2 linked regions of the Drosophila melanogaster genome follow. The protein of the gene in region 1 interacts with the protein of each later gene in a pairwise test. Each region holds a gene or a part of one and is shown in the gene's direction. Other genes may lie near its edges.

The links.
Region 2: the proteins of CG6972 (region 1) and Rbp interact in a two-hybrid assay, tested with the Drosophila melanogaster proteins (one large-scale study listed by BioGRID).

What each region holds. Positions count from the first base shown.
Region 1 is NT_033777.3:22,699,946-22,704,861, forward strand, and holds CG6972 (uncharacterized protein), read left to right. Parts: upstream 1-2,061; 5' UTR 2,062-2,345; intron 2,346-2,973; 5' UTR 2,974-2,980; coding exon 2,981-3,094; intron 3,095-3,308; coding exon 3,309-3,647; intron 3,648-3,706; coding exon 3,707-3,907; intron 3,908-3,963; coding exon 3,964-4,080; intron 4,081-4,147; coding exon 4,148-4,267; 3' UTR 4,268-4,393; downstream 4,394-4,916. Other genes in the region: Cyp6d4 (cytochrome P450 6d4), read left to right, coding at 1-115; CCAP (crustacean cardioactive peptide), read right to left, coding at 813-1,105, 1,159-1,222, 1,424-1,534; CG13842 (uncharacterized protein), read right to left, coding at 4,406-4,542, 4,598-4,916.
Region 2 is NT_033777.3:15,372,457-15,377,685, forward strand, and holds the start of Rbp (RIM-binding protein), read left to right. Parts: upstream 1-2,178; 5' UTR 2,179-2,405; coding exon 2,406-2,512; exon of another isoform or gene 2,513-3,221; intron 3,222-5,229. Other genes in the region: Ccm3 (cerebral cavernous malformation 3), read left to right, coding at 1-116, 175-307, 393-557, 930-1,014.

The sequences.
Region 1 (4,916 bases):
CAATGTCGAGGTGATGAGCAGGAGCGAAATAGAGTTCGAGAACAGTGGCATTGCCTTGATTCCCAAACATGGAGTGCGAGTGCGTTTGTCCAAAAGAGTGCCTAAATTATCATAAAAATTACAATTGCAATGATGAAATACAATAGTTAAGTGGCTAGCAAATCACTCCGATTATTTGGAATGATAAGAGATTACCGTCAGATAAAAAACAAAAAGTGTACAATAAATTCATTATCAAATCATTAATTAATATTTAAATTCGAAAATAACTTTTATGAATTAACATAGTTTCTTGTTATAATAATGTTACTTTTAACTCGCTCTCTATTTATAGGTATTATGTAAATTATAAAGTTGAAATGAATATGTGTGTTTTGTTAATTTATTTGCTAAAGTTGCCTAGGTGCAATCCATCTGTTTGCTGTTGAAATACCTTTTATGATTGTCCTTATCGTTATCATAAGTATGCAATGATACGAGAACCAACTGCGATTACCAATTACTAATGTCACCAAGAGATAGCATAGGGTAACATATTGTATATTCAGTGTGGTAAAAATAATGAACTTTCTAAACCGTTTTCTATAATCAGATGTATTACCAATAAATACAATAGACCAGAAAACAACAAAAAGTGAGGTCAACAATTTTTATTGAATGCAATGCCAGTGCTGTGGAATTCTTCACAATTCAAGGAGTCATGGATAAAGATAGTATGTACAATAACAAAAGCAGTGTGCTAACCGTCCAGTCAATTTGCTTTCCAGAAATCCGACTATTCCGATAATTCCGATTTATCCGATTATTTCGATTTATTTGCTTTCGCGCTCCTCCAATTGCTGCATCTCCTTTTCATTTTGCAACATTTTCTGTTTGTTCTTTTGCCGAAAGATTTCCTTGCTGGCTTCTTTGATGGCCTCGAAGATTTTGGCCTGCGACATGATTTGCTTTTGAACATTTTCCACAGCTGGCTCGGCATTGATATCGATCAAATCACTTAGACCTTCGGATAAATACTCATTGTTATAGGGTTTCTCTTCGACTTCGTTGCGTTTGAATAGCGAGAATGGCGGATACGAGGGATACGTACGCTTTCGTCCACAGCCTGTAAATCGTCCGGATTGTAATGGATATTATTATATATTGTATTAAAATTACCTGTAAATGCATTGCAAAACGGTCGCTTCTCGTACTTCCATTGTATAACGCCACTTAGCTTGTGCTGCAAATAAGACGATAAATTATATTTATATCAAAACTAATCAGGTAACAACTATTTAATTAGGTATGTAAATGAACGTTAAACAATGCGTCGCGTTATCAACTTAGATTATAACTCCGCTTAACTAATTTAACGAATTTCACAATTTACTTCCACTTTCTGTTGGGTCTTAATGAAATAGTTAATCCATTGATAACTCACATTTGCCATATTGGTGCCCTCGTTGTTCTCCCTTTCCAGCGAAGCCTGAGAGCAAATGGCACAAGCCAGGAGTGCAAGCAGCCTCAGGGAAATCCTCATGGACGTTCTCATTGCAGGAGTGTGTTTTTTTTAATAAGGATCCACTTAGCAACCGACGCGCTTAACACTCGAAAGCCAAATGAAAGTGGCCGCAGCTTGGGCCTTGGTCAACATCTCGGCTACGCAATGTGAGACTTGTTGCTTTCAGAAGGCGACAGGACCACCAGCTGGGCCTGGAATGTATTTTGGTTGCCACTTAATGGCTTTTTGTGTTTTTCCCGACCTTTCCCAGCCGGGTCGCCCCCGCACATTAACATTGCATTGACGTGTGAAGGATGGTCCTTGCCCTTGCCGAGTGTAATAAAAACCACTGCAAATTCAATTTGAAACGCAACTTGGGCAGGCTTAAAGTGGGCGAAAATCCCCCGCAATTGTCACTAATTTCGTTCAGTGCAGCTGCATTGGCCATAATTCGCTCGCGAGCGAACTGAGGCGTTTGTATCTATTTATAAAGACCCGATCCGATCGGATATATCCGAAAGAACACACTCACAGATCGCTCCTACGCGCTTGAGTGTGCATTTTCCGAAACTTTTCCTCACACTTCCACTAGACTTTTCCGAACAAACAGAGGCAATTTCGAGGCGACTCTCTGCCAAAACGGTTCGCGTGCTACTCGAATCTCTGGAATTCAATGAAAAGTTCTACAAAAGTTGCATGATCTGGAAAATAAATAACCATATATTCATTTTCGGAATTTTGAATAAACAACTGATACCATTTGTGCCCTAGTTGATTTTTAAATTGTGATTTCTTCGCGACTTTCCCACGATTTGGTGTCGAAAGTGTAGGAATTTCTGTGTCACTTCTACTAAAATAGCATGTGAGTAATTTGGAAATCTATAAATTATGCATATTAATTGGGAATATCTCAACATTTTATTTGATTATAATTACCAATTTCTGTCGGTTGAGGCCGGAAAAAAGTCGTTTATATCACATTGCATGCAATTTCGTGTTGCCAGTTGAGAATCTTCTGTACCTTGTTTTTGTCTACGTAAAGTAAAAAACTAAAAATACCACGGCTATTTTGAGTTTTCCTCAGTTTTACTGTCACACTTCGGTTTGACAACTTTTCCCCTACCCAATGGTGTCGCCGGCAACCGCTTTTCTTTTTTTTCCTTTTCATTTCCCAGCGCTTCTCTGCTGTTAATTAAGTTAAATGCTTTTCCGCCTTTTTTGTTTATATGAAACATCAAATTCCTCACATATTTCTACTGCCGAAATTGTAAACATTTCAGCACGCCTGATTGGCAATTTGTGCTGAAAATTACAACATTATCGCAGGCGGATCGTAAAAAATAATATCGAATAAAAAGTGAAAATCCTTTGCAATTTAATGGCTCTTGCGCAGCGAAAGTTTGTTGTGGTCCCATGCGAATGCATGTTCATTTAATTTTGACTATACAATTTATTTTATTATTATAATTTCCTCATGCGGCTATTAATAGACCAGAGATGTCAGAGCCCGCAGCCCAACAACAGCAGTCCCAGAACGGCAAGGAGCGCTCCAAGTCCACGGAGGAGAAGGAAGTACCACGCGAACCGGCGCTGGTCCTCAAAGACATCGATGTAAGTCCAAAGACTAGGAAGCTGTATCCAAGTACCAAAAAAAAAACCAACAAAAATGTTTTCTTATATACACAATTACAAACTGGCTGATTTGTTTGTAAACAATTAGATGCACTTTTGAAAATTGCAGTAAATCTGTGACTTATATTATCTAATGCCGAATCATCGCTAAATGCATCATATATCTTATCCTTTCCACTTCCACTTCCCACAGATAAAGACTGAGCTAGAGAGCCTAGTGAAACTGCTCGATGGCAAGATCTACAAGGAGGAGGAAGTGGCCATGGAGGAGCTGCATCAGTATCTGATCGAGGACGATGGCTCCTGGGCGCTGGGCGACAACTTTCTGATCTTCGTGCAGCGCGTCCTGCGTGACAATCAGGCCTTCTCGCCGGACACACGGATACACCTGATCCGCACGCTGGCCTATGCGGCGCTCAAAGATGATGTGATCATCATTCTGCACCAGGATCGAAGGGATCACACACTGATGAACTACGCCCAGGACATTGACAAGCAGACGCCCGAGGAGCAGCAGGCCTGGGCCATGTTTGTAGGTCCCGCAATGGGAGAATGAATATATAAGTTTGCTATATATTCAATATGTTTCAGATGTGCAATCTCTTTGAGAACCTGGGTCCCTCCGAATGGCTGTTGTACATTTCGGAGTGGGAATACAATGGTCAGACCATCTCCAACATACGAGTGACCACCAAGGTGGCCGTCCACTGCATCCTCTCCAATTGCCCGCAGCTGAAAAATATTGGCAGCATGATCCTGTACAACATTGCTATTAAGGAAGTGAAGACTGTGGTATGTGGTATGCAAAGTATTGGAAAATATCGTAGATACAAGATATATATCTGCAGGTATTCGACGATATCGCCGTGGAGCTGGCCATGGCCATTCTTCAGTTCTTCCAGAGCAGTCCCAACGAAGACCAAATCTTCCGCACCCTGAGGGCCCTCGTTCGATTCCTCGAGGTAGTGACCTATATTCGGGGTAGCCCAAATTGACAGCTGTCAAATATTCGAATATTTTGCTATTTTTCAGGTCTCGCAAGACGTACCGATGATCATTCAAATGATTGGACCGCATCCAAAACAATTCGCCGGCAAGAGCGAGCGCGTGGATGAGCTGATAAAGATCATTAGTCGCAAGGTGCCCGCCTAAAGGGAGATTTCCACATAAGAGAATAACCATAACCATAGTTACCCTTTTTCTAATATATATTATAATATATTCTAGACCCTCACTTTTGTAAAGCATTTTAGCGGCTCAATAAACATTTGTACCCCCTGACGAGGTCATCTACATGCCAATATCGCCGCAGCAAAGTTTCAGGAACGGAAATCCATTGCCTCCACTGGCTCTCAGTTGCAGCCAGTGTTTCTGATTGGAGACGAACATCTCCGAAGGCAGCTGTGTGTCCTGGGCAGAGGCATCCTCTACAAGGAGACCAGAAAAACATAGGATCCACATAGATATTCAAACACAACTTACGCGCCTTTTTGTCGTATTTCGGCGACTGGGTGATGGAGATCACATCCTCTGGCTTTCGAAGCAATATCTTGCCCACACCCTTGCACATGCGCAGCACCTCGTGGTTGCTCAGCTTATCCAGCTGCTCCTCATCCAACAGACTGCAGGCCAGAATCCACTCACGCACATCGTCGAAATCGTTGAGCAACCGAACCGCTCCGTTTACACTGAAGCGAATGCGCTTCTGGTAGATAAAGTCCAGCCAGGCCTCACAAATCAGCTTCAGGATCAGCTTGAGTATGACAATGTCCTTGGTGGCACGTATGGTGGGCAGATAGAT
Region 2 (5,229 bases), 7.3 Mb from region 1:
GAACAATCCGGGCTTCTGCTATGACCTCGTAGCCACAATTGTGCGGCGGGCCGATCTGAATGTTAACCTAAACGAGGCCGTGCTCCGATTGCAGGGCAAAATTACGGAAGCGGACCGTAAGTAGCCACGCCAGCAGCTGAGTTTCGTAGCTAACGAAGTTTCCCCCTTCCACAGTCAATGAATACCGCTTGACGCGCACGGAGGAGCCCTTCCAGGAGCTCAATCGTAAGTCCGTGGCTCTCAAGGTGATCCTCAGCCGCATACCCGATGAGATAAACGACAGGAAGACCTTCCTGGAGACCATCAAGTAAGTAAAAACTCAAAATGAAGCTAAAACTCACTGCATAAGCTTAACTGATTAATGAATAATGAAATTTTACTGCGTTTTACAGGGAAATCGCCAGCGCCATAAAGAAACTACTCGATGTGGTCAACGAGATCGGCTCGTTTATACCTGGCGTAACGGGCAAGCAGGCTGTGGAGCAGCGTAAGAAGGAGTTCGTCAAATATTCCAAGAAGTTCAGCACAACGCTGAAGGAGTACTTCAAAGAAGGACAGTAAGTATTAAGAATCACCTGCAGTGATTATTTACTATATGTGTTATCAAACGATACGCTGCGACGCCATGACAGCCGGTTTCTTTAAATCGGCTCATATCTGGTTTCTTATCGTTTCGGGCCAACCGTTGAGATGATGTCATTCCATTGGCATTCCGGGTATTGTTTGGTTTATCATTTTGCGCCGGAGATTCTGAGGGGCGGATATTAAGCCGGACCCCCGCCCATTTTAAATTGTAAATTGCTTCGATTACGTACTAATGGCTATTACCGCTGACCTTTTCATGAAATTGGGGCCAAATTGCATTACTAATTCAAATTGCTTCAGCAAGGATTTTCTAACCGATTCTCTTTTATTTTATCTATTTTCAGACCGAATGCAGTATTCATAAGTGCACTTTTTCTAATACGGCAAACGAATCAAATAATGCTGACAGTTAAGAGTAAATGCGAGTAGAGAATTAAATCCTTTAATTATGGCAAATTAATTAATTAGTGGCATTTTAATTTTATGTTTAAATAACCATTTAACATACCAAGACCGAAACAAATCAAATAAACTCAACACACTTAAATACAAAATCGCCCGACGCAGTCCAAGTTAAATGTTTGAACGTAAATGAAAATCTGTTGTAACTAAATAAATAGGCCTAATTTATATCGTATATACATATGTATTACACATACTCGGACACAAAATTTTGCGAAGCCTAAGCATTGTAATTAACTAGTGAGCAACTATTTATGGAGACGGACGATGTGTGCGAGAGTTTATTTTTCGTTTACAATTTATTGTAAATAATTCATTCTTTTTCTGTTAACAAACAACATCGGCTAGTTTGTTTTTGTTTAGGAGAAGCGCCTACGAATAAATTTAAAATTAGTGGAAAAAAAACGAGAAACAGGAAATGTATGTACTACGGGGAGATGACAAACAAAAACATTAACGGAACACTTAAATTTTTAACTGTTTTTAATTGTTAGAGTTTGAAATTTAAACACTATACATAATAATCTTTTACTTAATGATATGTTCTATTTGAAAACTGCGAAAGCGAAAGACATTAGTGGCCGACAGCACTATCAACAGGATGGAGAAAAAATTATTTTAATTAATAAAATGTTATATGAAAATCGAACACTAAGCAAAAGTAAAAGAACGGCAACAAACTCATAATGTAGACATAGCGAAAAGAAAACGACAAATAAATGTATTTATATTCCAAAATTGAAAAGAGTGTTTCATATTTAACCAATTTACGTAAAATTACTTTATAATTTATAGTATTAGGTGTGGTATGATGTGGAAATAATTGTTTTATATTACCCGAGAATTGATTTCGAAAATCAGAGATTGGTAAACTGAAATCAAAATCTCAGATTTACACGCACATGTCGTTAACAGAGGACAGCGCTGTTAACGGATAACAGCCAAAAGTAATAGTAAACCCCCAATAACAGGCCCTGAGCAGAAATTTACCCAGTTGCAACCCCAAAGGAGTCCTTCTGAGAGCGGGAGAGAATTGCCCGTTTTTCAGTGTCATTTGGCAGAAAAATCGATTCCCCGCACACTGAATAGTGGGCACTGGGTACTGAGTGCTCGGCTCTGGGTTCTCTGGGCCACTCTGCTCTGGCACACTGAGCACCGAGCTGGCAGTTGGGTAGAAATCAGAGTGCGCCAGCAGCGCGACCGAGATGACCCACTTTTCGGTATTCGCACTGAGACCCAACTGCTACTACCCACAGAAAGTGGACAACTAGGCGGAGTTTTTTTCTATATAGTAGCAGTGAAACGATCGCGTTTTTCGGATATATTATGTACAGCCTACGTAGCCTAGTGTAAACTATATGCATTTATGTGAATTTCCCAGCGCAAACGTGGAAGAGGAAAACAGGCGACCTGAAAAAGCAGCAGCAGCAGCAAGCAAGAAGCAGAAGCACAAGCAGCAAAAAAGGTTCGCAACCCGTTCAAAAGCCCCCGAATACAAAATATTACAAAAAGTTAACCCAAAAAGAAAGGATAAAATCCTGTGCTTCCGAAAACGAAAACCGCAGTTTAAGCAAAAAGTGTCAAAATCGCGTGGTAAATACTTATTTTGCGCAAGCTGAAAAAAAGAGCTGTTATGCGAGCGAGCGAGCTCACGAAAAATTTCGCTGTACACCAAATGTTTGCCCAACAGCACCGCTGCTGCGTGAAAATTTCATTTTCTCGCCAATAACGTGAAAAAGCTCGCCGCGAGTGCAGTTAAAAAATCCAGTGAAAGATATAATGATTCCGGGAAAATGGTGGGACAGTGAAAAGTAAAAGTGTAAGCATATCGATAAAGGCAAAAAAAAAAAAAAAATACGAAAAAGAGCAGCCAGCGTAAAACTACACTCTCCCACACACACTCACATGCATACATATATCCAAACATATACATATACATACTCGCCCACATGCTGATGCATATACAATATGCAAATGCGGGTAATCACTGTAAAACCGAGGCAGGCGAAATGGTGAATGAAACCGAAATTATAGAAAAATGCCTAAATAAAATCGGAGAAATTGGCTAAAAGCAGAGTTCAGCTACATTTTGGCACAAAAAAGCGCGCACCCACACACACTCACGCATACACCCGCCACACACATACAGAGAAAGCGAAAAGAGCGAGAGGCATGTAAGTAAAGTAGATGTAAATGGCCAACGAAACTGGAGCAGCACCAATACCACTGCAAGTGCCACAACGGCAGGAGCAGCATGTGTGTGTGAGCGTTTCATATTCATAAGCTTCCAGCAGCACCAGCAGCAGCAGCAGCAGAAAAGTCCCACTTTTTGGGTTCGCACTCTGGGGGCGGTTTTCACTTCACACTTGTCCCACAGCCTGCGCAACAACAATGTTAAAGTTGTTTGCTGCTGCGTGCGTAACACACATACTACATACAGTGTACACCCACCACACACGTTCGTGTGTATGTACGTATGCATGTACATATGCATACATATATATGTACACTAAAGGTATCTACAGCGTGCATGCGGTTACCGTTACCTTCTCTGGAGCGGTGTTTTAATACCCGTAACAGCACTTTCCACCGATTGAATGCTTTCACGTATTTCGTATATATTTATAGCCCACTGTACTCAGTTTCCACTGCAATGATCGAAAGTCACGCGTCGATGGCCTGGTACACGTTGCGGATACTTAATACAACATTATCACAACCTAGACGGGCTTATTATGAAAAGAAAGTCTTCATAGCTTCCTTCTATAAATATGTAGTTTTTTCTGTAGATGAATTAAAACATAATTGGCCAAATTTAAATTAACATGTTGCATATGTATTTAATACATGAAGAACTCAAATGTGCAACTATTCAATTGAATTTTCCTTTAAGCCAACAGAAAGATCCCCCGTGTTGAAAAATATAAAGAACGGCTTGAAAAGAAAAGCCATTATGATTTTATTGGATTTTTCCGAGCAGGATTAATCGTTGAGTTTGGCCAATTTTGACAGATGGCAATCATTCAATAATTTATATGCTGGGCTGCCAGCCAAACTGCGACCATGAGATGTCCACAGGCGGGGATCCCCCTGCTTCTCTCCGAACCACTTCCCATTTCCCGGTTTGGCGGTTTGGTTTTCCACCCCATAACTGTGCTATGGTTTTTTTCTATAGTATTTCAGCGCCAGAAGCGACGAAATTCGTGGGTCTGTGTGTGTGCCTGTGTGTGAGCAGCTTGTTATAAATAGGCAAGATAGTTTTTGTGCTCGTGTTCTGGTTCGCTTTTTTCCTTGGCTCTGCGATTGAGGTCATGCCAGCAGCAGGATAATGAACTTTTCCCAACATCTTAAATGTAATTGTAATTGTAATTGCTCGACTTTAAAAAGTTTCTGCTCGCAGTGTTATTTTTAGGACTTGCCACTCGTCATATTCTCGAGCACATTGTCGACTATTTATGCATGTAATTGTTGGCAATGGCTGTTGGCCCCTGCCTTCGTCGGCTATAATTGCTGCAATTAGAAGCACTTGATTGTTATGGCCCAAGTGTGTGAGCATTCAATTAATTGAACGACAGCTCATTAGGGCATCGAAGAGCAGACAATGGTGCTTTAAAACTTTCACCGACCTTTGCTGGAGAATATGTAAATATTAGCTTGGTATGGCCAACTTTTTGCATTTTTCGTGAGTTTGCCAAGGCAACCGATTCCGGATGCTAATTAATTGCCTTTCTTTGCAAACTTGTCTGTCAACACACAAGGTGGAAATTGCCATTTTGCAGTTGCAACTTTTGTTCTCCCGCTTTTTTTTCTTGGTTTTCTGGGCACTTCATTTCAAAGTAAATCAAAGTTGCTGCGCGCCAAAAACCAAAAACGCAACAAAGTTTTTAAATTAGTTTGTCGAAGTTTGGGGCCAACAAAGTTGGCAGGAATATTTCGTTTCATTTCTTTGTGGCGTTTTTTTCCAACCACGAATAGTCAACGAATATTGTTTTAATTACGACTTTTTGTATATTTCACTAGACAGTCGCCTTGCAGTTGTAAATGATATTACGCATACGGCACGTTGTGCGGAAATAAAGATACTGTGCTGGCAGAGGTTACCTTCCCAATTCCCTGCTTTCTCCCTGTTAGATAACGTGCCTCAGTTCCGAGTGAATGGGAATTTTCCATTTAATTTACTCC